Linked DNA regions of Stegostoma tigrinum. The protein of the gene in region 4 purifies or fractionates together with the protein of the main gene of each other region. This does not show direct contact. Links are inferred from orthologs where the notes say so. Each region holds a gene or a part of one and is shown on either strand. Other genes may lie near its edges.

Region 1 (8,205 bases), on a different chromosome or scaffold from region 4:
CACTGGTTGCTTCCACATCAAGTCCTATCATCAGTCAGTATCACCGTCATTCAAGGACAGTGTCTGAACTCAAGTGGGGCTTGAACACAGTCAGTTGCTCACTTAGCTGGATGGGGTCAAGGGATCTACATCATTACCTACTGGGGAATGAGCCATGGTCAGTCATGCAGGTCCAGTGCAACCAGTCTGGCATTTTGTGGTGAGTCTATCAGGCAACTGCTTAGAAATTTATTAAGTGTCTGGGCTATCAGTCAGGGCTATCCTTCCAAGCTAGTTGGGGTGGATACCACATTCATTCTCTTGTAGCTGAAGTTACAATAACAGTTGATGATATAAAGTAGCAATACATTTCTGAACATGAGCTTCTATTTCCAATGATGACAGTAAAAACATAAGAAATAAGAACACAAATAGGCTATTTGACCACTGGAGCCTATCCCACCATTCAATAGCATCATGGTTGATCTGACGCTCCTCACGCCCACCTTCCTGCGCTTTCCCTATAACCCTTGATTACCGTACTGATCAAGAATCTATCTCAGCCTCAAATATACATAAGGAAGGTTCACCCATGTCACCCTATGTGCCCTCAGAGCTGTCTTTTTTTTTGTTTCCCTCCCAATATGTGTGTACTATTCATGGGGTGAGCTACTGACCTTGTGCAGCTGGGCTTTAAATACTCTACCCACGAAAGAAGTCCTGGAAATTCCTGGCTATGGTGAGGACCTCTGCCACTGCGAAGTGCACAATAGCAAAAGCAAGATACCATAAAGGAGTGGTGGACACATGATGAGATGAACAGCAAGGAACTGTGCCAGATAACCACTAGAGCTCAGAGAGAAACCCTCTACAAAAATCCCTCAGTGATACTTAGCCAATGTTTGGTTAAATTCATCCGTTTGATTCTCCTTTTCAAAGAAACTTATTTTACCTTCTGAATTGAATTCTGGGCTTTTCTAGACGAAAAGTTTGATCATTCTGTTCTGAAGTCAAAACTAAACTAAATTACCTTAACTTGCTTCCTCTGCCTGTCATAAACCTAAGAGCGTAAATACTTTATCAATTAATACCACGGGTGTTTGTCAGGCATTTGCTGAAGTTGTAGACCTTCTTCAAAATGATGCAGTTAATCACTGTTAAAAGCCGCCTATTTCACCTTTTAAGAAAAACAATCCTTAACAGAACTGACCCACAGCCATCTGCCTAAATTTTCAAATCCAAACTTCAAAAATGTAATATATAATACAGCTTTCCTCATACATTCCGCAAAAGTGAAAATGCAAAGGTATCCTTAAGAGGCAATAGCATCTTTTTCAAACATAACGTTGCTCTTAACACCATTTCTGTGGTACATCATCTGTAACAATTTATTTATAATGAATACGCACCAATATTCCTAATAACCATATTCTACGCAAGTTCATTTTGATCATGACATTGTTTCATTCATATTTGCTCTAGAAAAGCACCTGCTATAATATTGAATGATTTCTAAAATTATACGGTTGTAGTATTAAACTGTAATGAAACAGTCTTAAATTCTCATCTGAAAACTCTCCAAACATCTGAAGACAGGCCATTGTATAAATAATAGTCTCTTCAAAGTTATTAAACAAGTGAATTTCGAACTTTTGCAGAGTCAAAAGACATTTCTCTATTATCAATTATTTCTGCTGATAATTACTCAATTTCTCAAAATAACTGACTGGTTATTTCACCTCCATTTTGTCCTCCTTTTGGTAAAATAGCACTTACCAGCAATAAAATTGGCATTAACAGCCAGAGCTTGTCATTGTGGTGCCCCCTGTCTTCCTGCTACCCTATCTATGCTCCTCATAATTTTAAACATCTCAACATGTCCACTCCCCCTACACCACCTCTCTAAGTAAAACAACCCTAGCCTATCCAATCTCCCTTCATTAAAAAACCCAGTCCAGGCAACATCTTGGTAAATCTCCTGTGCATCTGCTCCAGCGCAATCATATCCATCCTCTAATGTGGATATCAGACCTGCACACAATACTCTAGCTGTGGCCTATTCAACATTTTGTACAGTCCCAGAATCACCTCCCAGGTCCTTAAATCTATGCATTGGCTAATAAAGGCAAGTATCCCAAATGATTTCTTAACTTCTTTATCTCCCTGTTCCACTACGCTGAGAGGCTGCAGGCTCTGCACACTAAAGTCCCACTGATTGTCAGTGCTTCTGTCCCAATGATCATCAAGTACATCACCACACACTTATCTGGATTGAATTCACTTTCCACTGATCACCCCCTCCGACCAGCCTATCCACATCCTCCTGTAATCTATGGCTATCCTCCTCACTATTTACTAACCCAACAATTTTTGTATTAGCCAAGAAAGTACTGATCAACTCTGGTACCTTCAGGTCTAAACCATTTATAGGTACCATAAATAGCAAGGGCTCAAACACTGATCCCTACAGGACCCAACTGGACACAGACTCCCAGTCACAAAAATAGCTCTTAACCATCACTATCTGCTTCCTGTCACTCAGCCAATTCTGTACCCAATTTGCCAAATTTCCTTGGATCCCACAGGCTCTCACATTTGCTATTAGTCTCCCACACTGGACATTATCAAAAGCTTTGCTGTTAAGCAGACTACATCAAATGCACGGACCTCACCTACACATCTGGAGACCACTTTGAAATATTCAATTAGTCAGACCTGACCACCCCTTAATAAAACCTTGCTGACTATTTGATTAATCCCTGCTTTAAAAAAAAGAAAACAAAAGGAAGATTTAGAACAGAATATTACAGCACTGATTTTGCACTGGCTGTTTCAAATGGCTTCAGCGATAGAAGGAACTGCAGATGCTGGAGAATCTGAGATAACAAGGTGGAGAGCTGGATGAACATGGCAGGCTAAGCAGCATCAGAGAAGCAGGAAGGGTGACGTTTTGGGCCTAGACCCTTCTTCAGGAATGATTTCTGAAGAAGGGTTTAGGCCCAAAACGTCAGCCTTCCTACTCCTCTGATGCTGCTTGGCCCACTGTGTTCATCCAGCTCTACACCATGTTGTTTCAAATGGCTAACTAATTTCATTCCACACTCCTTCTGATGCTGAAAATTAATCCTCTTCCAAGCGTAAATCCAATTGCCATTTAAAGTTCCTGTGGAGTCTGCTTTCAGCATTCATGGTTTTGCAGACTATTAGGGAATGCACGTGAAAAAAAAAGGCCATTGAGATACTTGTGGACAACCAACACCAAATTAGGTTGCTAGACTTACTTTATTGGATCTCTCATAATTCTGAATATCATATCAGGTTTCCTTTAATTTTGCCTGGTCTAAGGATAAAAATGTCAGTTTCTGCAATTGCTCCAAATAACTGTAGTCCCTCAACTCTGTTACCATCTTCATCAATCTCCTTGCAGCCCCTCCGACGACTGGAAATCTTTCTAAAATGTAACGTCCAGAACAACGCACAAAAGCTGCAGCTTAGGCTAAAGATTTGTAAATGTTACATGATTTCCTTGATGTTGCATGTTTATGTATTTAATGGCACTAATTAAAATGTCAGGCTGGTGTTGCAACATGAGCATCTCTTATGGAACAGTGATAATGCCCCTACTTCTGAGCCAGGAGGTCCAGGTTCAAGTCCCATCTGCTCCAGATGTGTGTGATATCACCTCTGAACAGGTTTGTTAGAAAATACCTACAATCTAAGTCATTGTACTATCATGTAAAAGAAACCAGATTGGGAAGTTAAAATCTTATTATTTTTGTAATCAGATTTTGGGTTAGCAGGCTATTCTAATTTTGTTCTTGGCCTTTTAACACTTACTTGAAACTCAAGTTTCAATTACAGTTTTGCAGTCATTGTCTATATCTATAATTCGATGGATATTTGCAAGTACCTAAATTTACTATTATTTGGATCTGATAATAAATAGTACTAGAGGCAGAAGCTGCTCATCTGTGCATCAATTATTGATATTTCACTCAAGCTGGCTGGTCTTTGCAGCATACTGCATGTATGGAATTGTACAAATTGTACAAAATGATAGATTTAATTTTGGTTAATATTGAAGCTTATTCAAATTAATCATTTATAATTGGCTACTTGCTAAATACACTTTATTGTGACAGTATCATACAGTATCTCCACGTTAAAGTGACTGTTAGCTTTACATCCGTCATTGTCAATATCATTTTCAAAATTGATACAAAAACTTCCAAAATAGTAGGCAACTGTTATCATATGAAATAAAAATAGATGTTAAGATATTCTACAGATATTTTAAGTGGCAAACAATGACAGGCAATACAATATAGGTTTATTTAAGACCCTGGTTATGTTAAATATTATACTTACAATTCATGAAATCATCACAATTCCTCCATTACTGCTTTGTTTCTAGATGCAGCTCCCTGTGACATGATATTAATTAAATCAAGAATCAAAATAAGATTGCAGTTGGACAATAGATAAATGATCTCACCAATATAAATAAATTTCAAAGATTAACACCAATGCAGTTACACAAGCCTGACAGATGCAATTACTAAAAGATGCAAAAGAATTTCTATGCTGAGAAATTTGGAGGAAACCCCTTCTTAAAATTTAAAATTTCTACATTTTATACAAAGTATAAAAAGAGTTTCACCAAAAGGCAAATTTACTGCATAAAGACGACAGGGAGAAACCGATTGCTTCCCCCCTCACTCGTATTTTGTCTCGGTTAAAAGTTCTACGCCATTCACATATTATTTGGAACTGGCGAAAATAGTGCAAGACAGAAATAGGGTGAAATATACACATGGTTGATTTATCAATCCCAGCTACATTCATCATCAGCTCCAGGCCACACACAACTCTCTCCGTGTGAGTGTCTCTCTCAGCACGGTGTCGGGATTTTGAGGCTTTTTCTGGGGTCAAAACAAAATCTCAAGAGGAGCGAAAGATGCGTTAAAATAAAATAAACAACGAAGGCTTCAAACTAAACTGGAAAGAAAGCGAAAGCAGAACCCGATAATAAGAAATAGAAACGCTGCTTCCTTTACTCGCCTCCACCTGTTTATTTTCTGTTGTCATCCTTTCGCCTGCTTCCAGGGGAGGGGGGTAAAGGTCATAGGGTAAAGGGCAGCACCCAGCATCCCCGGTGCAATACACAGCCATCTTGGAGTTATTTTAGGAGATAATTCATGCGGTAAGTTTTAACGTTTTCTTTCTTTATTTCTCGCTCGGAGCCGCTAGAGCTCCGTCCCTTTGGCGTCGGCGACAACTTTTTCGATGAAAATGTTGCCGAGCGCGGTGGCGGGGAGTGCGGGCTGATCTAATGGGGCTTGGGCGGCTGCTGTGCCTTTTTTTTGTCTGGGCTCTGACTGAGTCTCCCTCTCCACTGCACCCCCCCCCCCTCTCTCTCTCTCTGGTTTAATCGAGTATCATTAAAAAAAAGCGGACAGGCCAACCCAAGCAGCGAGGAGCCGGGGAGCAGAGTAAGATCCCGACCCTTGCACGAACACATACACCTCAGGCACTGGGCCTTGCATCCGACTTTCGCCCTCCTCTTCACACTTTACATCATCATCCTCATCATCTTCATCGGGATACATTTTACACTACGAGACCCGAGCTGTGTGCCTGGCGTTTCCGCAGTTATAACTACAAATCCCCCATTGCTTCTTTGCTCAATTTCAGAAATTTGGTATAGTCGCGATATATCCGATCCTGGTTCAGTGCATTGCATTTTTTTAAGCCGTCAGCAAATGTTTACTTGTTTTCCTTTTGGATGCAACTTGTCTATTTTAAGTTGTTGGTGGAAGTTGTATTTATATTTTGTTTCAAACATAGTTTTGTTCCATGCTGACACCATTGTTTGCAGAAAGTTCCTTGAGTCCTCACAATATGAGACATGGCGATCATTTCAGAATTGTGTTGCACAGCTAAGGGAAAATGATTTTTTTTGTATAAAAATGTAGCTGGTGATTTGGATCTTGTAAGTGATGATAGCCACTGAAACAACAGCACGTCACAAACATCTCGCTTTTAAACAATTTATGATGGAAAGGGCTGAACATCTGGCTTTGTTGTTCAATTTTGTTATTCCAAATAATTTTTTGCTGTTATTAGTTTTTCCTGTTTGTAATGACTTTGGAAATATTAAATTGGACAAATATTGAATCAGACCAGATTATCACACTGGGAATCTAGCTTTCTAAATCTACGAGATTTTAAGTTCTCCAATTTTTTTTAAAGTTTATACAGTTACTTACCTTATTTTTCTAGATTATCAGAATTTTTCGAGGGATATGGATTGACACTTACAAATATAAATTGGATGTCAAACTATGTTTTTAACTACTTTTAGCATAGCGTAAATCCTTGGTTTAAAGAAGGAAGGGATAGATTTGTCTTTTTTAAATGATGAACAACTTGAAATAAACTTCAAATAAGATCTGAGATAGCAAGGTGTAGAGCTGGATGAACACAGCAGGCCAAGCAGCATCAGAGGAGCAGGAAAGCCGACGTTTTGGGTCGAGACCCATCTTCAGAAATAAGATCTTACAGCTTTGCAGATATGTTAACAGTTACAAATTTTAAATAAGCATTAATGGTATCAAGGCAGTGGTTATAGACTTGGTGGTGTATGTCTATGTGATTTAAAATTGTAGTATTTGTGCATCAGCAGCACTGATGCTAACTTCTGTTGCTGATTTTGCCAAAACAAATAGAACTTCTATAATTTCCATATTCACCTTTATGCTCAAGTATTTTGATAGCGCTGGACAATGTGGTATTTTCTTAATCAGAAAGAACATTTTCAAAGTTGTATGGATGCATATACTATCTGTAATCCAAAAAATTGTAATATTGATACAGTAAGTAGACATTTCCATATTAGAGCTGCAGTACTGTGGGACTGTTGGGTGGATGTTTTGCCATCTATTTTCTATTTCACAGTTTTGAGACTACCAGTTGTGTGAGCATGCTTGCCTACTTGTCCTTACCTTTATATAGCTTTTACTTGTTTATTGGGGGCACTGCTACAACAATAATTGCATTTTTATGGCTGAAGCGTTTCAGTTAAGTGTTTTAATGTTCTTAGTCTTGTTTTTCTCCTCTCCAGAAAATGTGAGGTTGCCCAAAACTAGTGAACTGTTGCTAATGGCTCATTGAATCAGCTGAAGAAATGCCACCCTGTTGACCACTGGTTGTCAGTAGGATTTCAGCAAAGCTGTACAGATTATGGATTTGTGAGCGTGTTGAATTTTGCGCATGTAATTTGGAAAACACCCAGCGCAACTGTTAGGTTTTGTCCTTTCAAGTGTGGGTTACATCTGGAGAGAACAAATTGAGATTGTCCAATTGGATCTGCACCACTGTTAGAGTTTAGAAAGGTCGATTACTGGTGGCGGTGATGCTGAGACAGATTTTTAGTGAGTGATTAAGGATATTGCATTTTGTTTTAAAAGGGTATTATCACAAGTATTTTTCCTGAATTATATTGCTGATGCATTAGATAATGAAGCCCTAAAGGTTATTGAAGCTTTCAGCAAAATGTTAGACAAGTTGACAGAGTATTCTGTGATCCTGAATCAGGGAGAAAACAAATAATTTGATCTTTAACAAATGACCAGAGGAAAAATTCTTTGATTCTGCAAGATTCCTAACCACTTCATTGGAATGATTGAGACATGTGATGTGAAGAGGCTACATTGAGAACCACTTACTCCTGTTTCATTGAATAGAATTGAAGAATGGAATACATTCTCAATGACTTTGGTGTTATGTTAAAGGATATACTATTGGCATAGAGCAGAGTTTGTTAACAGACTAATGCATAGTATGCTTGATTTTTAAAAATCAAAAATTTTGATTGCTTCCATAGTAATAATTCATTTGAGAATAACTGGTAAGATGTTTTATTTTTTCACTGTGACACTTTGTTTTAAAGCGCAGAATGGCATCTTCATCCTTATTCTTGCTCAAATATTGTAGACCAACCCAAAGCCCTACCAGTTTTTCATGACTTAAGATGTACTTTCGTGGCAAGTGATTGACTTGGAATCACTAGAATCTGAATTAACCAACTTCACTTCTCCTTGGAAAGGTTTGAATAAGCATTCATATAATGTTGCAGATGTAGTTGACATATCATTATACAAGTTACAATGGGAAATGTAATTCTGCACTGCATTTGGCTAAAAATGTTGAAAAATTCTTGGTGAA
Region 2 (7,148 bases), on a different chromosome or scaffold from region 4:
GCACTCAACTTGTTTCCTGTATCCTGTCTCATTGTTGCTTAAGATCTGACCTACAATGGTGGTATCATCAGCGAGCTTGTAAACGGAGTTGGGGTGGAATCAGGCCACACAGTTGTGAGCATATAAGGAGTATAGTAGCAGCTTTGCAGGGCACCAGTGTTGAGGATTATGGTGGAGGCGGTGTTGTTGCTTATTCTCACTGATTTTTGTCTATGGGTCAGAAGTCAAGGATCCAGTTCCTGAGGGGTGTAGCAGAGACCTAGGTCTGAGTTTGGATTTTAGTTTGGTTGGAATTATGGTGTTGAAGCTGGAGATGTAATCAATAAGTGGGAGCCTGACACAGGGATCCTGGCTATCCAGATGTTCCAGGGATGATTGGAGGGCAAGGAAGATGGCATCTGCCATGGACCTATTGTATTGGGAGGTGAATTAAAGGATCAGGGAAATCTAATATGCTGGAGTTGGTGCGAGCCAGACTAACCTCTTCAAGCACCTCATCATTAGAGGTCACAGCCATCGGGTGGTAGAAATTGGAGGCACACTGCATGATTTCTCTTTGGCACTGGGATGATAGTGGTCTACTTGAAGCAGGTGGGGGCTTCAAGTCATAGTAAAGAGAGGTTAAAGATGTCTACAAATATTCCCGTGAGCTAGTCCACACAGGATCTGAGTGCTTGGCCAGGGACTCCATCTAGGCCAGTTGATTTCCATAAATCAGCCTTCTTGAGCGTGAACCTAACACCTGCAGAGTGACCATGCGTACAGGTGCACCTGAGGCTCTTGGAATAGGTGACATCATTTCACTGACCTTCTGTTCAAAGTGAGTGTAGAATACATTTTCAACAATCTTATCATTTACCCTCGACACTGAATAATATTATTACTGCTGAATCCTTCACTGACATACTCAGCAATATCATTGACCAGGAAATGAAGTGGGCCAGCCATATAACCGTTTCCACAAGAGCAGGTCAGAGACTGAGAATTCTGGAGACAACATCCGTCTCCCAAAAACCTTGTCCAACATCGAAAAGGGAAAATTCAGGGGTGTGAGGAATCCTCTTCCCTTGCCTAGATGGGTGTGACTCCACCAATAGTCAAGCAGACCTACACTATTCAAGGTAAAGCAAAGTCAAAGTTAATCAACACCCCTGCTGCCACCATAAACATTCACTTCCTTCCTCAGTGAAGCACTGTGGCAGCAGTAAATATCATCTACAAGATGTGCTGCAGCAACTCACCAGCAACAGTCAAACCCTGATCTCTAACAGATTTAAAATCATCTGCAAAAGAAGAATAAACCCTGGAAAAGCTTTCATACTCAGTGAGTAGTTATGGTATAGAATGCACTGTCTAGAAGTATGGTACGGGCATGTTCAATTGAGGCCATGACGAAGCATTGTGTGATTATTTGGTTAAAAGTAATGTGCAATGGTTTGAGGAAAATGCTGGAGATTGGCACTAAGTAATTGTGCTCATTTAACAAGCCAGTGTAGGCACAATGGGCCAAATAGCTTCCTTCTTCATCATAGCACATCTGTCATCTGGAAGCACAAGGGAGGCAAATATATGGGAACACAACCAGCTGCAAATTTTCATCCAAGACACTCACCATCCTGACTTGGAAATATATCATTATTCCTTCACTGACACTGGGTGAAATACTGAAATTTACACCATAGCATCCTTTTGGATATGCCTACACCAAGCGGACAGCAGCACTTCAAAATGCCTTCTCAAAGACATTAATGGATGGACATCAAATGTTGGCCTTTCTGGCATTTTTTCTGCCACATTTAAAAAAAAACTAAAAAGTAACTATTTCACTGCCCCAGTGCATTTTGCATCAACTAATTTTTTCAGCCCTTTTTATTGCTTTGGGGAGTAGAATGGAAGGAACAACTTGCTTTACAACAAAACAATCCAGCACGTCCCGTTTTGCAGTAACAATATCGTACGTTAGTTTTGTACCACTCTTGTGAACCCTGAAGTACCATCTCAACGTGCTGGACAAATTTACAATAGGCAGAAAAAGCCAAGCAATGAGGAGATGAACCTGATCATTCCGAAAAACAAACTAAATCATCAGTAACCATGCCAACAATCCAAAACAGGTGTCTGACGAAGGGGAGGCCAGGGTAAGGAAATGGCAACTAGGTACAACGGGTACAGTATTAAATGATGAATGGTTTACTACTATCGAAGTTTACTACTGGGATAATGTCATATCAGCTTAAAAATATATAATCATTTCAAAAAGGACTTTCTTTGCTAAAGATTGGTTATGGCATTAGCAAATGGCTCAGAGAAAGTTGGGTAGGAGGCAGGACTTTGGCATATTGTTAGCTATGGTTTCAGCATGGCAATAAACTCTAAGTTTAATTGCCTGATTACACCTCAGATTAAGCAAAACTGGATAAATAAAACCAATGGGAAGGCCTTGTCATGATATTTTCTAAGGATTAGTTTATTCTATTCATTTAAATGTATCACAAATGGAATGCATCTATCTTCCTCCTCCCACTTTTTGAAATCATTAGCAATTAACCAGCTTGCACTGAATTATTAATAAATGCAGTTCTACCATGAAGATCAGTAACTGCAATACAGCCCTATAAAACAGCATGGAATAAAGAGAGAATACTGAACACGTAGCTTTGCAATTCCAATTGCCTTTCAACTCATTTATGAAAAATGTGGATATTGGCAATGACAAATTACTTCCACAAACTGCTATTATTTAAAACATGTTTATATTAGCACAAATCTGTCATAAATAAAACATTTTCACTTTACCTGAAAAATATTGTCATTTCCTTCCTATTTTATTTGGCTTCCCATTGCCATTATGAAGAACAAACAACTATACTGCAATCTGTCATGTAAAAATATATTTATTCTACACCTAAAGTTGACTGTAGATCAGCTGACTTAAAAGTAACAAAACTATAGTTAGGTAATCATTGTTTTTTTTCTTGACTGTATTCTACTTTGCATTTGTGTTGAAATAAGCAGCACATTCCACCACTAGTAATTTAAACAGTGAATGCTATGATCTATACCAGAATACTCGATACATAAACAGAGATAAATGGCTATGTTTGATCTTACCTGCCTGCATTTTGAGTTCAGCTACTAAGTTCCGCATTAAATGCTGCAAGGTATAAATGGAGCCATTGAGGCACCAGATGAGGTGTCAGATAACTAAGCTGTTTTGCTCACACCGAATTTATTGTTAGAACTATTCGAACCAAGCCTCATCACCAGCTGCGCCATGTGTATTAGTGCAGATACCTTTACACCTAAAGATCAATGCTGGTCTTTATCACTGGAAACCAGATGGTTGATTTCAAACTTGCTTAAACGGCAACTTAATATATAGTTGCTAAAATGTTGCTGCATCTTGGAGAACCGGTTAGGCTGCTGTCATTTGTGAATGCAATTGATTTTGTTGGAGGTTATACAGAAACTTTCTCACAGTCTGTTCCAGATTTTTCTCCTTCTTTCTTCTTAAAAGCACAATTTCATGCTGGGTTATAGATCCACATTGACTCACCAACATCCAGCATTTGTCTAAATTGACGATCTTGTAATAGAGGTCATAGTACAGTCCTGTTAGTTCTGGTCATACCACAACAGAACTCAATCATGTCCTTCGCTCATTTGTACATAACACTTTCAAAGAGGAATCACAATACAGTCATAGAGTCACACCACGGAAACAGACCCTTCAGTCATACCAGTCCATGCTAAACTTAATCTCAAACTAAACTAGTCTCGCCTGCCTGCTCCTGGCCCATATGCCTCCCCAACCATTACTATTCATGTACTTATCCGAATATCTTTTAAACATTGTAATTGTTCCCACATCCACCACTTCCTCAGGATGTTCATTCCACACAAACCACGCTCTCTTCTCTTATCTAAAAATATGACCTCTAGTCTTGAAATCTCCCAATTTAAGGAAAAGACAACTACCATTAACTCCATCTACTCCCCTCATTATTTTAGACATCAGGAACCTAGGAGCTAGAATGACATCAGAAAACACTTTGTCACAAAGAGTCTTGGAAAATCTGAAATCTTGAAATCTGAAATTTGCTAAAGAAGCCAAACATGACTGCCTCTTTCATCCCAAGCCTGAGATGAAAGAGGATAAATGGAGTTAAGACAGACAGTAATTCTTGTTACAACCTCCCTTTCAGCAATGCATCCGGAACAAAATGACAAGTCAATGGGGTATTTGTCATTTGTGAAAAATGTCCTGACTCAAGGAGGGATCATATGCTGCCTGTCAATCCAGTGTACCTCCAAAAGCTGCGCATGAATCTTGTGCATTCTGACAGGATTGAGAGCTGCCTGTCACTGTGTGACATTTCTACTAGGATTGAGAGTTATACATGAAGATCCATGGGACATTGTAGTGAGATAGGGGTCATTGGATATCTCAAGGATGTAATATTTTTAATAACCCTGCTCAGTTATGAGACACTCCTGGAGCAGGTGGGACTTGATCTGATGCTTTCCGGCTTAGTGTGCCACAAGAACTCCCATCACCAGGATGTATGTGTATCCCGAGGAGCTGAAAAGATAAGCTTAACAGGCTTAAGACAACATTTGAAATAACTCCACAGAGGTCAGTATCCTGTCACCAAGTCACTCTTTATTTACACAAGAAGAGTCCTTGACTTTAGTTCTGCTTCTTTAGAATCAGCTCTCAGTGCCAGAATCTGATATTTCTGTTTATATCTGTCAGCCAGGGCTCCCTGATTGGACCAGATTAACAGCCAAAATCAAGGAACTCATGTCCTACGAGGTCCAGCTAGCTGATCTTGTTACAATCACTACATCTCTCCCCATCTAAGTCCAAGGACATAGGCCAGTTCTTATTCTTAGAGAGCCTCTTAGAGCACTTTAGCACTGGGTCAGGTTCCTCCAACTCAGTGTCTGATAAGGGCAGCATGAAATGCACAGGAGCTTGCCTCTTGCACCAGGAACGCCTTGGTAGAATTTCACTTTCTTTTAGAGGCAAAGGCATCAAGGCAGTTACATCTGTCCTGTCAATCTCTGATTCTGAGAATTGTCAATGCTTGATGGAGAGGATGAACCTACAGGTTCCAGCAGCCTTCCTGTCTGTTCTGAGGGGTAGGGCACACTTTGCTCCAGCACAGTTTGTGAATTGGTGGATTTCATATAGTCCACGTGCTTGGTCAGACTATTGTGCCTGCCCAAATTTTACATGTCACTAGTCCTGTCCTTGTGTTGATCATGCCTACAATCCATGCAGGGCCACTTCTGTGAGCCTTACACCAAACTTTGTCTCCTGCATCAAACTGTCTGCCTCACCTGGTGGGGTCTTGTGTCTAACGCTAACGTTCTTGATACTATTCCACATCCCCCCCCCCCACCCCCATGTCTGGAAAGATCAGACTTACACTGACAGATTTGATCTGCACCAGGTTATCTCCACCTGGCCCCGAGCGGCCAACCTAACCTCCCGGCCACTGCCCATTTCAACTCTCTGACCCACTCCACCTCCTACACGACTGTCCTCGGCCTTCTCCAGTATTGCAGCAAACTGGAATGCAAATTTGAAGAACGACATCTTATCTTCCACCTGGGCACCCTATAGCCCAGAGGACTCAACACTGAGTTCTCCAATTTCAAATAATTTTGCCAGCCATCCCCTGCCTCCCATCCCAGCTCCACCTCTTCCCTTCCATTCCAGCTCCTGAGTGTCCCTTCCAGCGACCAACCGGATTCATCCCTCCCATCGACCAATCAGGTCGTACATACCACTAGTGTCCATCACTACCATACCTCCCTCTATCTGCAGCTCTCCCTACTGCTACATCCAGTCCTGACTTAGGGTAATACCCAAAGCATTGACTGCTCCTTTCCTCCAGATGCTGCCTGGCCTGCTGTATTCTTCCAGCCTCCTGTTTGTCTGTCAGTGCTATCCCTGTAGTTGCATGTGGGGTGGTCCTAAACTGAAATAAGAAAGGTGACAGGTTGGAATCTAGCAAGGTTGTAGGCTTTTTTTAAAACCTGCTCTTTCTGCCAGGCCATTGGATGATGGGTCGATTAAATGTCGAATCACATTCAATTTTAGGAAGTACCTATATTCCCTGCTGGTAAACAATGGCCCATTACCTGTGGCCAACATTTCTGGGCCTCCATGCATTAAAAAAATGCATGTAGTTTTTCTATCATTGCCCCCTTGTTTGACAAATGGACCCTATATGCATCCAACCATTTTGAGTGGCTGTCTACAAGGACTAAGAACATGAAAGGTCCTGCAGAGTTGAAATGCAACGTGAATGAGGGGGAGCGGCTAGCTTTACTTTTTGTCCTTGTTGACACTCTGGGCACTGGCCACCAACATGGTTATATCTGTATACAGGTCTGGCCACCAGACATTTCACCAACATCTTCGTTTTGGAGACCCTGAATATCCCGAGTAGAGTTCAGCAAGTATTGGACAGTAATCTTTGCTCAGGACAATCACCCTTTCTCCCCATAACAAAATGCCATCTTCCACGACCTAAGCTCTTTGGGTAAAATACATATTTCAATTCTACTTGTGATGGCCCTTTGGATTCCCCCATTGCCACCAGTTCTTACAGTTTTGCCAGGACTAGATCTTTCCACATCCAAAGTTTGACATTGTCAGCTGTGACTTTGGGAGTGTTTCCAGAAAATTTAATGCCATAACAGACTTTCCATTGGAGGTATCAGCAGTGGTGTATCTGCCAGTAGGAGATGGCTCAATGCATCAGTATTCACGAATCAATCTCCTGGACAGTGTTATAACTTGAAATTGCACACACTTGGTAAAAAGAGCCCATCACCGAAAGCGGCCTAAAGCTATGGGTGGCACTACCTTGTCCTCTTTATTGAGACCGTGTAGGGGCTTGTGGCTCTTTTACCCAAAGATCTTAGATCATTGAAGATGGCGTTTTGTTATGGGGAGCAAGGGTGATTGTCCTGAGCAAAGATTTACATCCATAAAGGAATTGGTGAAACTTTGACTGCAACTATGACTGCCAGTCCTTCTTTCCCTATCTGGGCATATTTGCACTCTACGCTAGCCAAAGTCCTGGATGCATAAGCTATTGGCTGTTCCTCTCCATTGTGCCACCTCTGAG
Region 3 (7,643 bases), on a different chromosome or scaffold from region 4:
GAATGAGCTGCCAGAGGAAGGAGTGGAGGCTGGTACAATTGCAACATCTAAAATGCATCTGAAGAGGTATATGAATAGGAAGAGTTTAGAGGGATATGGGCCAAACAAGACTAGATTAATTTAGGATATCTGGTCGATGTGGACAAGTTTGACTAAATAGTCTGTTTCTGGGCTGTATATCTGTCCCTTCAATCTGTGGAAACTAGAGTCAAAGGTTGGTTTTATCGAATGGGGTAATAACAGCAGATTTAAAGCAGCGACGGCAAAACAACTTAAGAGACTGGAGTCACTTGTGCAGAGAAACGGATGCTGAAAGATTCTAGATGGGATTCATCCCGGATTCATGCGAGAAGGGCTAAAATTAAGAGGCTCTGCCCATGATCTTCCGATCCTTCGTTAGATATTGGTGTGTTAACGACCCAAACATTACATTCCTATTTAAAGAAGTCAAAACCTTCAGTAGAAATCAGTCAGCCTACTTTTGTTTGTGGGAATCATAATCCAGAACAGAACAAACACATGTCCACCCCTCTGTACAAATTATCATTTAGAAACACCAGTTTTCTAGACTTTTTTGAGTAGACTGGAGTATTATTTCAGTGCAATGTTTAGGAAGCAGAAACATTGAAGAAACAGTACTTACATAATTTAACTTTGCTTTAAAACTGCTTAAAGCTATAACACTGTTTTATGTTTCAGATAAGTCTTTATTTCCGAATGATTTCCTGTTCACACAGTTCTGTTTAGATATTCTGACATCATGTCACAATTATGAAAATTCTGGAATCCAGAAATGACTTGGTCTAATTCTTGACCAGCTCAACTGAATCTGCATTTGGACCGCTGTTCTCTCTGATATATTTTAATGGCTTAAATTCTTCTTCTAAAAAGTACTCCAACTTTGGTCTACAATTCACAAATAATTTGCAAACATCGTAACTAATGAGAAGTGTAACCAGAGACTTCAGGAGGACACTGATGAGACACTGAAATACACGAAAAATTAAGTGTGTTGGTAGGAAGAAAGATTGACTAAATGACAAATTTGAAGGGGAGGTCACACAGGAACAGACAGACATGTGCACAAATGTTCAGAGGCATCAGCCAAGTTCATGATTTTGCTTTAAAATTAACCAAACCCTGAAGCTTGCATTCAAAGTACGGCCATGAAAACTTTTACATCTGACCAATCAGCTATACAGTTCATCAGTCAAACATCTGATCACAAAACCATCATGAGCACTCCTGGTGCATAACTTGGAAGCTATAAGCTTCAAACTCTGAGTAAGACTGAACAAATGGCTCCCCCTTATCAACTCTGGAAGTTACTGTATGCAACATAAACCACTAAGTTTTCGAAACCCTCAACAATACAGACAGTAGGAAATAGGAAAACAGCAAAGTTTTGGAACACTCAATTAATTACAAAGGTGTACATTACAACAGCAGCTGTTCCAAAGACACTCTCATTAGGAGCTAAAAGCATATCCTGAGATTGTCAAAGAATATACAGAAATGAAAGTTTAAAAAAAAATCAGGCTGTTTGCCCTGAATGGTGTCAGGTTTCTTAAATATTATCAACCAGGCAAGTGGCGAGTATTCCATCACATTTTTAACTCGCGCCTTTTAGATGGTGGACAAGGTGTTGGGAGGACAAACGGTAAACATAGTAACTGCACAGACACACTGGAGGTCAATTTGCATTCTGGTCCCTTAGAAAGGGCATCATACCCAGTCCTGTGATCTCTACACATTTCCAAAACTGGTTTCAATGTTGGGGTACGAGGAGTCTTTTGGGAATGGAATTTGACATTTGTGGAAACGGTGTTAAGGATGGGAGGGTTAGGTATGGTGGAACAAGATAGGCTTTAGGCAGGACAGAATTAGAGAATGGTTACTATACTGGAAACAGCAGTGGCTCTTTTAAAAAAAAAACAGAAACAGAGACTGCAGTTTGGCAAATTCTGTGAGAAGCAGCAGAGTTAACACTTCAACTCCAGTGATTCTTCAACAGTAAAAGAATCATTCACTGAGTTCCACCTGGGAGCCTTTCCGCAATCTTGCAAATTTCTCTCTTCAGGTAATGATCCTGGTCTTTGCTTCAAAAGTCATGAATCCTTCTCTCTCTCACACACACACACACACACACACACACACACACACACACACACACACACACACACACACACACACACACACCACAACAGTTCTTCCTGTTCCACAACTTCGGTCTTGTGCTCTCTCTCTGTCCCCCAACCCGCCGCCTCCTACAGATACAGTTAAGCTCCATCTCTCTGGCCCCATCCTTGAAATGCAGTCCGCCTCTCTCAGTGCCTACCCCCTTGCCCAGACACAGGTATTTCTGCCCGCTCACTCTGGCTTCATCCTTGAGTGCAGTGCCCAAGACTCTCTTCACCGCCACCACGATACAGTCCTTTCCCCGACTCTCCCCTCAGGATGCAGTAGCACGCCCCACTCCTTTCCTGGGGGTGCAGTACTCCCTACTCTCAGCTCCCCACAGGTGCAGTGCCCTCTGCCTCTCCCCCCCATAGCCCCAGGCACATTACTTGGTCTGTCTCCCCACCGTGGGGTACAGTGTTCACCCTCTCTCCTCCCCCCCGACAACCCCCAAAGGGTGAGGTACTCTCTGTCTCTCCCGCAGGGGACTGCACCCTCTGTCTCCACACCCACTTCCCCCTAGGGGTCTGGTCCCCTCTGCCTGTCCCTCCCTACCGCCGGGGCGGGGCGGGGCGGGGCGGGGGGAGAGGTCTGGTCCCCTCTGCCTGTCCCTCCCTACCCCCGGGGCGGGGGGAGGTCTGGTCCCCTCTGCCTGTCCCTCCCTACCCCCGGGGCGGGGGGAGGTCTGGTCCCCTCTGCCTGTCCCTCCCTACCCCCGGGGCGGGGGGAGGTCTGGTCCCCTCTGCCTGTCCCTCCCTACCCCCGGGGCGGGGGGAGGTCTGGTCCCCTCTGCCTGTCCCTCCCTACCCCCGGGGCGGGGGGGGGGTCGGGGGGGGGAAGGTCTGGTCCCCTCTGCCTGTCCCTCCCTACCCCCGGGGCGGGGAGAGGTCTGGTCCCCTCTGCCTGTCCCTCCCTACCCCCGGGGCGGGGGGAGGTCTGGTCCCCTCTGCCTGTCCCTCCCTACCCCCGGGGCGGGGAGAGGTCTGGTCCCCTCTGCCTGTCCCTCCCTACCCCCGGGGCGGGGGGGGGGGGGAGAAGGTCTGGTCCCCTCTGCCTGTCCCTCCCTACCCCCGGGGCGGGGGGAGGTCTGGTCCCCTCTGCCTGTCCCTCCCTACCCCCGGGGCGGGGAGAGGTCTGGTCCCCTCTGCCTGTCCCTCCCTACCCCCGGGGCGGGGAGAGGTCTGGTCCCCTCTGCCTGTCCCTCCCTACCCCCGGGGCGGGGGGAGGTCTGGTCCCCTCTGCCTGTCCCTCCCTACCCCCGGGGCGGGGAGAGGTCTGGTCCCCTCTGCCTGTCCCTCCCTACCCCCGGGGCGGGGGGGGGGGGGGAAGGTCTGGTCCCCTCTGCCTGTCCCTCCCTACCCCCGGGGCGGGGGGAGGTCTGGTCCCCTCTGCCTGTCCCTCCCTACCCCCGGGGCGGGGGGAGGTCTGGTCCCCTCTGCCTGTCCCTCCCTACCCCCGGGGCGGGGGGGGGGAGAAGGTCTGGTCCCCTCTGCCTGTCCCTCCCTACCCCCGGGGCGGGGGGAGGTCTGGTCCCCTCTGCCTGTCCCTCCCTACCCCCGGGGCGGGGGAAGGTCTGGTCCCCTCTGCCTGTCCCTCCCTACCCCCGGGGCGGGGGGGAAGGTCTGGTCCCCTCTGCCTGTCCCTCCCTACCCCACGCCCCGGGGGGGGGGGGGGGGTGCGGTACACAGACACAGACACACTCCCGCGGGTGGGGTTACGGTACCTCTCGGGCCGTTCCCATAGAGACGGCGCCTCGCGCTCCGCTCCCGCCGCCGCCGCCGCCGCCGCGAGATGGCGGGACTGCCGCTCCCACAATGCCCCGGGGCGTGGAGTGCTCTCAGGCACAGAGCGCTCCTCTTCTCCCCGATCCTGTCCGGTACGGTCCGTCCGCCGAACACCCGCCCCGCTCTAAAACAACCGACTCTCCCCAAACCCCATCACCGCCTCGAATAAAAACATTAAAATGTTCTTCACCCCAACCGCCGCTCAAAATGGCGCGAAGGCAGCCTCCCAGCAAGCAGCGCGCAGCCTGAGGAAACACACCCGCAAAGTCTATCATTTTCTTTTTAAAAAAAATACCCTAATCGTCTGAAGCGCGCTTCGGGCACAATTCGTACGAAATAAACAAGGATAATTATCAACTTGTGTTTCAATGCCGCGGTCACGGGGTGAAAGGGCAAAGGTGAAGAGCGGAAATGCGTTCAAACCTATAATTCCGCGGAATGGTGCGAGGTGAAACTGGAGATTATTCTACACAAGAGAGTCGGATTGCGAAGGGTTTGAATGATTCTCCTGATGTAAATTCCTTTTCAAAATAAAAGACGTGTTTTGGGTAGAAGCGGTGACCAAGGGTCAGAGGTCAGGGTTCACCGGACACAGGAGCCGGGAGCCTCGGGCTCGTTGATGTGAAGTTTTTACCCGAAGAAGGGGCGGCGGCGGCGGCGGGGGAAGATGCACAGCCTGGGGGCAGGGGCGGTAAGTCCCGGTGGGGATGGGCGAGGTGGGGGCCTCTTCCCCGCGCCCCCCCCCCGGTTTAGGCCAGGGATGGGGGAGACAGCGACGCCCTCGCTGCGGGAGGCCCGGGCAGGGACTCGCCGAGTTTACCCGCACTCGGGCGGCGGGGGAGGCTGCAGGGAGCCTGCCCGGGGACCGCCTGAGGCCTCGGTGGGGCTTGAGGCCGAGCCTGTCGGATTTTGTGGTCACCAGGGAGGCGGGCGGGGAAGTGGAGCTATGATCAGACAACCCTAGAATTTCTACAGTGTGCAAGCAGGCCACTCTGCCCATCGAGGAGAGACTAGTCCTCACGTTCTCATTCTTCTCTCCCCCCCCCCCCCGGCATTCTTCTCTCCCCCCCCCCCCCCGGCATTCTTCTCTCCCCCCCCCCCCCCCCGGCATTCTTCTCTCCCCCCCCCCCCCCCCGGCATTCTTCTCTCCCCCCCCCCCCCCCGGCATTCTTCTCTCCCCCCCCCCCCGGCATTCTTCTCCCCCCCCCCCCCCGGCATTCTTCTCTCTCCCCCCCCCCCGGCATTCTTCTCTCCCCCCCCCCCCGGCATTCTTCTCTCCCCCCCCCCCCCCGGCATTCTTCTCTCTCCCCCCCCCCCCCCCCGGCATTCTTCTCTCTCCCCCCCCCCCGGCATTCTTCTCTCCCCCCCCCCCCCCGGCATTCTTCTCTCCCCCCCCCCCCCGGCATTCTTCTCTCCCCCCCCCCCCCCCGGCATTCTTCTCTCCCCCCCCCCCCCCCCCCGGCATTCTTCTCCCCCCCCCCCCGGCATTCTTCTCTCCCCCCCCCCCCCGGCATTCTTCTCTCTCCCCCCCCCCCCCCCCGGCATTCTTCTCTCTCCCCCCCCCCCCCCCCGGCATTCTTCTCTCTCTCCCCCCCCCCCCCCGGCATTTCTCTCCCCCCCCCCCCCCCGGCATTCTTCTCTCCTCCCCCCCCCCCCCCGGCATTCTTCTCTCCTCCCCCCCCCCCCCGGCATTCTTCTCCCCCCCCCGGCATTCTTCTCCCCCCCCCTCCCCCCCCCCGGCATTCTTCTCCCCCCCCTCCCCCCCCCCCGGCATTCTTCTCCCCCCCCCTCCACCCCCCCCCCCCGGCATTCTTCTCTTTCCCCCCCCCCCCCCCGGCATTCTTCTCTTTCCCCCCCCCCCCCCCGGCATTCTTCTCTTCTCCCCCCCCCCCCGGCATTCTTCTCTTTCCCCCCCCCCCGGCATTCTCCTCCCCCCCCCCCCCCCCGGCATTCTCCTCTTCCACCCATTCTCCCCCCACCCCCCGGCATTCTCCTCTTCCACCCACCCCCCCCCGGCATTCTCCTCTTCCACCCATTTCCCCGCCCGGCATTCTCCTCTTCCACCCATTTCCCCCCCCCCCCACCCACCCACCCCCCCCCCCCCCGGCATTCTCCTCCCCCACCCCCCCCCCCCCCGGCATTCTCCTCCCCCACCCCCCCCCCCCCGGCATTCTCCTCTTCCACCCATTCACCCCCCCCCGGCATTCTCCTCTTCCACCCATTTCCCCCCCCACCCACCCCCCCCGGCATTCTCCTCTTCCACCCATTCCCCTCCCGGCATTCTCCTCCCCCACCCCCCCCCCCCCCCCCGGCATTCTCCTCCCCCACCCACCCCCCCCCCCCCGGCATTCTCCTCCCCCACCCACCCCCCCCCCCCCGGCATTCTCCTCTCCCCCCCCCCCCCCCCCCGGCATTCTCCTCCCCCACCCCCCCCCCGGCATTCTCCTCTTCCACCCATTTCCCCCCCCACCCACCCCACCCCCCCCCCCGGCATTCTCCTCTTCCACCCATTCCCCCCCCCCCCCGGCATTCTCCTCTTCCACCCATTCCCCCCCCACCCCCCCCCCGGCATTTTCCCCTCCCCCCGGCATTCTCCTCTTCCACCCATTTCCCCCCCCCCCCCCCCGGCATTCTCCTCTTCCACCCATTCCCCCCCCCCGGCATTCTCCTCTTCCACCCATTTACCCCCCCACCCACCCACCCCCCCCGGCATTCTCCTCTTCCACCCATTTTCCCCACCCACCCACCCCCCCCCCCCCGGCATTCTCCTCTTCCACCCAATTCCCCCCCCCCCCCCGGCATTCTCCTCTTCTCTCCTCCCCCCACTACCCCCGCATTCTCACTCCCCTCCCCCCCCCCCGCCCACTACCCCCGCATTCTCTTCTCTTCCCCCCCCCCCCGACTAGTGGAACCACCTAGGCCTGCACACCTCTGGACAGTGCGTGCAATTTAGCACAGCCAGTCCACCCTAATCTGCACATCTTTGGACTGAGAGGAAACTGCAGTACCCAGAGGAAACCCAATGCAGACATGGGGGAGATAGTAACAACTGCTGATACTGGAGAATGAGAGAACACGGTGGGGAGCTGGAGGAACACAACAGGCCAGGCAGCATTAGCGGAGCAGGAAAGCGGGTGTTTCGGGTTGGGATTTTCTGAAGAAGAGTCCCCGTGCCATGTCACCTCAGGCTCTTGCATCAGTAATTCTTAGTATCTCTGAGTGAGTTATAACCCCACTATGAAGCCATTTCTGAAGAAGGGTCCTGACCTGAAACGTCAGCTTTCCTGCTCCTCTGATGCTGCCTGGCCTGCTGTGTTCCTCCAACTCTACACTTATTACAGACACAAGAAGAATGTGCAAACTCTACTCAGTTGCCTGAATCAAACCCATGTGTCTGTGCACTGTGAGGCAGCAGTGCTAAACACTGAGCCACCCCAATCTTGTGGAATGACAGAAGCTTGACCGAGAGACCAAATCGTCCCCCCTCTTGTCCCTGATCTTGGTTCTCAGTCGAGTTAAGACAGATATGTTGGTCTTGGAGGGAGAATGATGTAAGTTTATGAGAATTGTACCTGGACTTAAGGGTCAAGTTAAATGAGATTATAAATTAGGTTAGTTTTGTCCGGAATGTTGGAGGTTAGGGAGTGATCTAATCCAAGTCTTCAAGATATTAACAAGAAA
Region 4 (7,725 bases):
GGAGACTAAGCATTCTCAATAAAGATATGCATCCTAAATTTCCAAAACACCACTGGAACGAAGGCTTTGGGTACAAGCCCCTTTCAGAGATTTGACAACATAATCTCAGTTGAGGCTCTAGTGTAATATTGATGCAGTATCATACAGCAAACTTTGTTTTAACTGGCCCCTTATCTACCAGCACTCTTTATAAACCACCAACCCTCAAATACTGCAATCTACATTGATGTCTGAGTATTTATGCTCTTAATAACATATAACAGCGGTACGTATACCTCACATTACATTTATGCTACATACTACGTGTTTTTACACTGCGTTTAGAAGGTTTGTTGATGTTTTTACATCGTTTTTTTTGAGGCATATTGATGTCTCGAAGCTTCACTTGGTCAGAGTTTAATGCAGTATGCATATCTCTTGATTATATGGAATATTTCCTCAATCGCCACACTCCCATGCTGTATGACTCTATGACTCCTGGTCCCACTGGTGCCAGTTAATAAAGTTTGCTGAATTTTCAGATGAGATGTCAAACCATGTTCATACAAGTCTCTGGCATGGGTGTAGAAGATCCAATGCAACATTCTCTCAGAACACAGAGTATGCTTCGTGTCCAGGCTAGTATTTATCCTCAATTCTCATTACTAAATCAGATTTCTGATGGCAATCACATTGATATTTGTGGGGCCTTTGTATATGCATATAATGTAGAATATGTGGCAGCCAATAACAGTAACTGTTTTTCAGAAGTTATGCATTGACAGTAAATCACTTTGGAACATTCCATGGCAATGAAAGGTGCATTAAATTGCAAGTTCCTTCTTTCAATCTATTCTTCCTTGACCCTCTGAGTTACTGATTTTAGTCTCTATGTATGCAACATCCTTTGGTTCTGCACATCAAAAGGTTGGTGGAACAAGAGGGAGGATTATTCCCAAGTCAACTCGCACCTGAAGAAGGGTTTCAGAGGGGTACTTTCAAAGGCAAAGAAGCAAATTGCTTGTTCATATTCATCATTTTTAAAGCAAGGTTAAGTACAATCAGGTGATGATAAAAACAAAAAACATTTCATATGCCTCAAGATCAATAACTTAAAGGATCTATTCAAAGAGATGCTGTCATGAGACTTAAATGCAATATTCAGACAACACTGCAGACTTCAATACTGTGCAAGTCCTTGATTATCATATGAAACTGCTCTCACAACAAAACTACTTATAACAGCTAGTACATTAAAGAAGTGTCATAAACTCTGAAATTCCTCCAACACAATCCAAGTTTGAAAGAAAACAGAATCTATATTTTTACTACTCAAAGTGCAAACGGTCTGAAAATGTCACATTTTACGCAATCATTGCTTGAATATTTCTGTTACAAGGGGATCAAAAGCACAACAAGTTTCAATCAGTCTATGCAAAAGCAATAAAACAAAGCAAGGGATTTTCTGAATTCAAAGATTTCAGCATTTCTTTAGAAGCATCAGAAATGAGAACGAGGTCATGCCAGTTACCCAGGCTAAGAGAAATGGAAGTTTGTTATTGACTAATCTGACATGTATTCAAGTCACATAAAATAAAACAGTGCCATAGCTTGGTTTGAGTTGAGATCTGGAGACTAATTCACAATCAACTTCTTGATAAAAAGGCTCATCAGCAAATACAGAGCAGCAATTAGTCATTTGGTCTACAAAAAGACCTTGAGACCAAGAAATTGAGACACGAATTGATATTTTGAGATTAGATTGGTTAAAATAAATGAATAAAGGATTAAAACTTTTCCCAATGCAATCTATTCAAACAGTTCAGAAAACAGATCATGCAAGATCTTGAAAATTACAATCCTCGTCTAAACCCAACAAATGAATAACACAATCTGTCAAAAGATAACTTCCTCATTTCTACAGTGAAATGCCTCTGATGTGCCACCAATGAAGATAAATCCAGGAGGCAAAACGACACCAAGTACTTTTTAGTATTACAGATAGAAAAATTAAAATCGCTTAAGTGTTCAAATATATACATATCTGACTCTCAAACTAATCATTCCACCAACAAGCGTTAGTTTGAAAGTGCTATTATCTTTCATTGAACAATAATAAATATTAGAAAATAGATTTGGTTTAAGGAAAACCCAAAAAAGTATGATCTTCTACTGTAACCAGTTGTAAACTAATCTCTGGGTCTGAAAATTTATTTTGTTAATCACTCAATTTTCACCACTGTGGAGTAGCATCCATCTAAACTCCATTTAATAGCTTACAATTTCAATGCAAGGGCGCTCAATAACTTTGTCCTGCGTTGGACCGCATTTCCTTTAAGATGCACAATTGGGGAACCCTGAATTCACAACAATCTGACATCAAAAAGGAATCCAACTGCCTTCAGTGAACGTCCGTTGAATGGTCAGAGGATCATAACACCAAAAAAAATTGCAACACAAGACTTGAATGGACTATCCCAACTAGGACACTGGCGCAGGTTGAGGTTGTGACAGTCCAGAAGACCAAAAGCTCACAGTTGATCTTCCCTCCCTCCGTCAGTCAGATCTGGTCTGGTCTGAATGAGGAACAGTATTTGGCAGGAAGTTTGCCTCCACTTTACAGCAAGGCGCGATGTGGAGAGAGAGGATAGTTGATCGCTACCCCAAGGAATCAACAAGATAAACTGAAGGGCAGCTGGATTTAGGAACCGTTACCGGGAGGTGAGCGGCGATGCAGACACAGGGCCGGGTCGGGCCGAGCAGTCCTCCCGCCCCGTGTCTCCTCTCTACCTCACCCCGTTGGCTAGCCGGATCTAACTCGCGGCGTCCTCCATGCGAGGACCAGCTGAAAAGAGGGTCCTGTGTCGGGAAGTGGGGCTATGAATAGATAGGGCTTGCCCCGGGACCAGGCGATACTCACCATGGCGATGGCGGTGGTGACGGTTGGCGGCGGCACTCTCGCGGACGGTTTCTTCGTCGGGCCCGAGCGATCATCCGGGTCACGCAAACAACCCGCGCTCAACCAATCAGCGTCCGAAGCTGCAGCTTGCCCAAGTATGGGCCTTGCAATGCGGAAGTGGTGCTCCAGTAGATTCTCTCCCCTCCTCCCGCACGACTGTCAATACCCTCAATGTCTGCATACCACCCCTGCACTGTCAATTCCCTTACTACCTGCACATACCCCACTGATCGTCAATGTCTTCACTATCTGTACACTCCCCAGTGCACTTTCAATATCCTCAATATATACTCTCCCCACTGCACTATCAATACCCTTAATATCTGCACATTGATCAGGGCACTGTCAGCATCTGTACACTTCGCAACGCACTATCAATATTGATATTAATAGTGCAGCAGTATTAATATCCTCAATTTCTGCATATTCCCCACTGCACTATCAATATCTGCACACTCCCCATGGCATTATCAATGTCTGTATATTCCCGAATACATTGTTAATGCCCTCAATAAATGTACACTCCCCCACCCCCACACTGCCAAAATCTCAATATCTGCACCACTGCACTGTCAATATGCTCAACATCGGCACACTCCCTGCTGCAGGCTCAATATTCTTAATACCTGAACATTCCCCAATGCACTTTCAATATCCTCAATATATACACACTCCCCACTGCATTGTCAATATCCACAACATGCACATACTCCCCACTGGTGTCAATATTGTCAATTCCTGCACAATCCCCAAAATGCTGTCAATGTCCTCAATATCTGTACATTCCCTGCACACTATCAAAATCTCAATATCTGCATATTCACCACTGCACTGACAATATCCTCAATATGTGCACACTGCCTGCTGCAGTGTCAATATTCCCAACACATGCATACACTCCAGTGCACTTTCAATATCCTCAATTTATACATTCCCCACTGTACTGTCAGTGTCCTCAATTTCTGCACACTCCCCACCGCAGTGAATATCCTCAATATATGCATACTTCCTGATGCACTGTCAATTGTCAATATTTGCATTATTCCCTCTACACCATTGACGTACTCAATTTCTGTGCACTCCCCCAATGCATTGTCAATATCCTTAATAAATGCATTCTCTCCAATGCACTGTCAACTGTCAATATCTGGACAGCCCCCACTACACTGTCAATGACCTCAATTTCTGCACACTCCCCAATACACTGCCAATATCTGCACAGACCCTACTGAACTATCAATATCTCAACATCTGCACACAGTCTTCAATGCACTGTTCTTATCCACAATATTTGCACACTGTCTGCTGTACTGTCAGTATCTGCACACACCCCACTTCATTATCAGCATCCTCAATATCCACTCACCCTCTTCCCATTTAGGTAAAATATTGTCCATTCATTCTCCAACGTCCTTGAATGTGTATATAACACTTACATTTATTTTTCATACAACTGTTTACAGTATTCCTCCCTTCAGAATTCTGGCACTGCCAAAGCACAACAACAGATCTAACCAATATGCACAAACTGTACTTTTGGTGATTAGAACATGATATTTTATCTTTATACAACTTCCATTACTTGGTCATAATGGACAAGGTTCTTCTCTCAGGCACTGGAACAATTCCAACAAATTGATTATTGGGAAATTAATTTAGTGCAGATTAGGAAACAAATAGGGTGACACATTGGCTCAGTGATTAACACTGCTGCCTCACTGTGCCAGGGATTCAGGTTTGATTCCAGCCTTGGGTGACTGTCCATGTGGAGTTTGAATGTTCTCCCAGAGTCTGCATGGGGTTTCTCCCACAGTCCAAAGATATGCAGCTGAAGTGGATTGGCCATGCTAAATTGGCCTGTAGTGTCCAGAGATATGCAGGTCAGGTGGTCAGCCATGGTGAATGCAGGATTGTGAGGATGGGGTGAGATACTCTTCAGAGGGTTGGTGGTGATTTAATGGCTGGATGGCCTCTTTCTGCACTGTAGGGAGTCGATAATTTGTTTTCGTCTTCATGACTGTGGACCACACCACAGAAATCCAAGGAGCCAAAATAAATCACTTTAATTCACCACTCTGAATAAGTTATGTTTTAAATTATAAATATTAAATTGTAAATATATATTTACCATAAAAAAGAATAAGACATATTACAAACCCACTTAAACACACAAAGCAGTTTATTTTTGGTGTAACATATGTTTTAATCCTCATCCTAATTCAGTCTTCACTCACCATTTACACACTTTCTATAACAGGAAGCATAGGTTAGATTTAAGAATAGCATATAGGGGCATGAGAAAACTGGAAGCATTTGTTGTAAATATAACTGTGCACAGTAAGAACATTTGGTGATATCAAGTTCAGCTTTCATAAGTATGTCAATCTTCTGTTAGGTTTCATGTTTCAATATTTTTGGAGGGTTACACTTAGAGATAACTGAAAGGAGAAGTGAGATTCTCCAACTGGCATTTAGTAGAAAGGAAAATGGCAATACATTAGGGTTACTATTGACTATTGTTATGGTCCCTGTTATGAGAATCCTGGACAAACTTGTTGTTATTGTGATTTGGCTTCATTGGCCAACATCTTGTAAAAAAAACAGAATGATATCAGAAAAAAAAGCACAAAAGAAAGCAGCAGGATACCAGGATTGAACTGAAACACCAAAAAATGTTCATTATACAAAGTTGAACAAAACTAACCTAAGCGATAATAACTAAAATAGGTACAATAAAAAGGTAAGATAATTATTTTGCATCATATTTAAATTTAGACGCCAGCATTCAAGATTAACAAATGCATCAGTTAACGGAGAAACAGTAGTTGAGTACCTCATGGATTGCACTATAAGCAACTGATGCAGTCAAGTCAGATTCCACCCAGATGTTGGAAACATTGTAGGCTGTCAAATCTCATCAAAATTGTCTCTTTTACAAGGGATTCCAATTCTTCATTTTCAAATATCTAAATGTGGGACACAGTTAAAGCCTCTCCAATTTGGACTGTGTCAAATTCTGCTCATGTCTTAGTAGTTCAATTTCTTCTCCTATGACAGAGCATCATAGGCACAGAGCTGTACAGCATGGAAACAGACCCTTCAGTCCAACTCATCCATGCCAACTAGATAACCTAAATTCATCTAATCCCATTTGCCAGTACTTGGGCTCATATCCCTCTAACCCCTCCTACCCATCCATGTACCCATCCAGATGTCTTTTAAATGTTGTCATTGTACCAGCCTCTACCACTTCCTCTGGCAGCTCATTCCACATACCTACCAACCTCTGAATGAAAAAGTTGCCCCTTAGATCCTTTTAAATCTTTCCACTCTCATATTATACCAATGCTTAAATTGTTTTTGACTCCCTGGCTCTGGGAAAAGTACCTTGCCTATTCACCCTATCCATGCCTCTCATGATTTTATAAACTTCTAGAAGGTCAACCCTCAGCCTCCAATGCTCCAGGGAAAATAGCCCCAGCCTATTCAGCCTCTCTGTAAAGCTCAAGCTCTTCAACCCTGATAACATCCTTATAAATCTTGCTTAACCCTTTCAAGTTGCACAACATTTTTCCTATAGCAGGGAGACCGGAATTGCACATGGTATTCCAAAAGTAGCCAAACCAATCTCCTGTAAAACTGCAACATGACCTCCTAATTCTAATACTCAATGACCATTAAGGGCAAGCATACCAAATGTCTTCTTCACTACTCTGTCTACCTTCAGCTCTATTTTCAAGGAACTATGAACCTGTACTCCAAGGTCTCTTTGTTCAACAGCACTCCGCAGGACCTTACCACTGAGCGTATAAATCCCGACCTCATGTGCTTTTTCAAAATGCAACACCTCACATTTACCTAAATTAAACTCCTTCTGCCACTCCTTGGCTCATTGACCCATTTGATCAAGATCCCATTGTACTTGGAGGTAACCTTTTTTGCTGTCCACTGTACCACCGATTTTGAGGTATTCACCAACATCTTTTCAACCTTTCCCTCCTACAAGCCGAAGTCCCCACTTTCTTCAAGAAGACTACCATCATCCTCATACCCAAGAAAACACTTGCAGTGTGCCTTAATGACTACTGCCCAGTGGCTCTAACTTAAATAATCATGAAGTGCTTCGAGAGGCTGGTCACGGCCCAATCAACTCCAGTCTTCCAGCCTGCCTCGATCCCCTACGGTTTGCCTGCCAACATAAGATCCACAGAGGATTCCATATCCCTAGCCCTGCACTCATCCACGGAACACCTGGACAACAGAGACACCTATGTCAGACTCCTGCTTGCTGACTGCAGTTCTGCCTTCAACACCATTATCTCCTCCAGACCGATCTCAAAACTGAGTGACCTTGGTCTCGGCCCCACCCTCTGCAACTTGTTCCTCAGCTTTCTGACCCACAGGGTGCAATCAGTGAGGATAGGTAACGGCATATCCTACACAATAACACTCAACACTGCAGCCACGCCAAGAGTGTGTCCTCAACCCCCTACTGTACTCCCTGTGCACCTACAAAGGTGTGGCGAAATTCCCAACCAGTCAAAATACAGATGGGAGGTAGAAGGCTTGGGGATGTGGTGCAATGAAAACAATCTGTCTCTCAACATCTGCAAAACTAAAGAACTCATCATTGTCTTCAGAAAGAAGGGAGGGGAACATGTCCCCATCTACATCAATGGAAGTGACGTTGAGTGGGCTTACAGCATCAAGTTCCTTGGAGTGACAATAATTGACAGACCTGTCCTGGACTTCCCACATAGATGAGACAGTCAAGAAGGCACAACAAC

What was found.
Region 1: the proteins of capzb (region 4) and cnot2 purify together in Homo sapiens (co-immunoprecipitation; 4 studies listed by BioGRID and IntAct, with this or other methods). This does not show direct contact. The link is inferred for Stegostoma tigrinum from reciprocal best matches to the Homo sapiens genes CAPZB and CNOT2.
Region 2: the proteins of capzb (region 4) and cracd purify together in Homo sapiens (co-immunoprecipitation; 3 studies listed by BioGRID and IntAct, with this or other methods). This does not show direct contact. The link is inferred for Stegostoma tigrinum from reciprocal best matches to the Homo sapiens genes CAPZB and CRACD.
Region 3: the proteins of capzb (region 4) and cnot9 purify together in Homo sapiens (co-immunoprecipitation; 3 studies listed by BioGRID and IntAct, with this or other methods). This does not show direct contact. The link is inferred for Stegostoma tigrinum from reciprocal best matches to the Homo sapiens genes CAPZB and CNOT9.

Annotation. Positions count from the first base shown.
Region 1 is NC_081371.1:45,260,977-45,269,181, reverse strand, and holds the start of cnot2 (CCR4-NOT transcription complex subunit 2), read left to right. Parts: upstream 1-5,128; 5' UTR 5,129-5,182; intron 5,183-8,205. UniProt on the Homo sapiens protein: Component of the CCR4-NOT complex which is one of the major cellular mRNA deadenylases and is linked to various cellular processes including bulk mRNA degradation, miRNA-mediated repression, translational repression during translational initiation and general transcription regulation.
Region 2 is NC_081354.1:109,541,725-109,548,872, reverse strand, and holds the start of cracd (capping protein inhibiting regulator of actin dynamics), read right to left. Parts: upstream 3,157-7,148; 5' UTR 3,149-3,156; coding exon 3,112-3,148; intron 1-3,111. UniProt on the Homo sapiens protein: Involved in epithelial cell integrity by acting on the maintenance of the actin cytoskeleton. Positively regulates the actin polymerization, by inhibiting the interaction of actin-capping proteins with actin.
Region 3 is NC_081360.1:103,196,836-103,204,478, reverse strand, and holds the start of cnot9 (CCR4-NOT transcription complex subunit 9), read left to right. Parts: upstream 1-4,391; 5' UTR 4,392-4,629; coding exon 4,630-4,653; intron 4,654-7,643. UniProt on the Homo sapiens protein: Component of the CCR4-NOT complex which is one of the major cellular mRNA deadenylases and is linked to various cellular processes including bulk mRNA degradation, miRNA-mediated repression, translational repression during translational initiation and general transcription regulation.
Region 4 is NC_081381.1:30,770,557-30,778,281, reverse strand, and holds the start of capzb (F-actin-capping protein subunit beta), read right to left. Parts: upstream 3,053-7,725; 5' UTR 2,903-3,052; coding exon 2,900-2,902; intron 1-2,899. UniProt on the Homo sapiens protein: F-actin-capping proteins bind in a Ca(2+)-independent manner to the fast growing ends of actin filaments (barbed end) thereby blocking the exchange of subunits at these ends.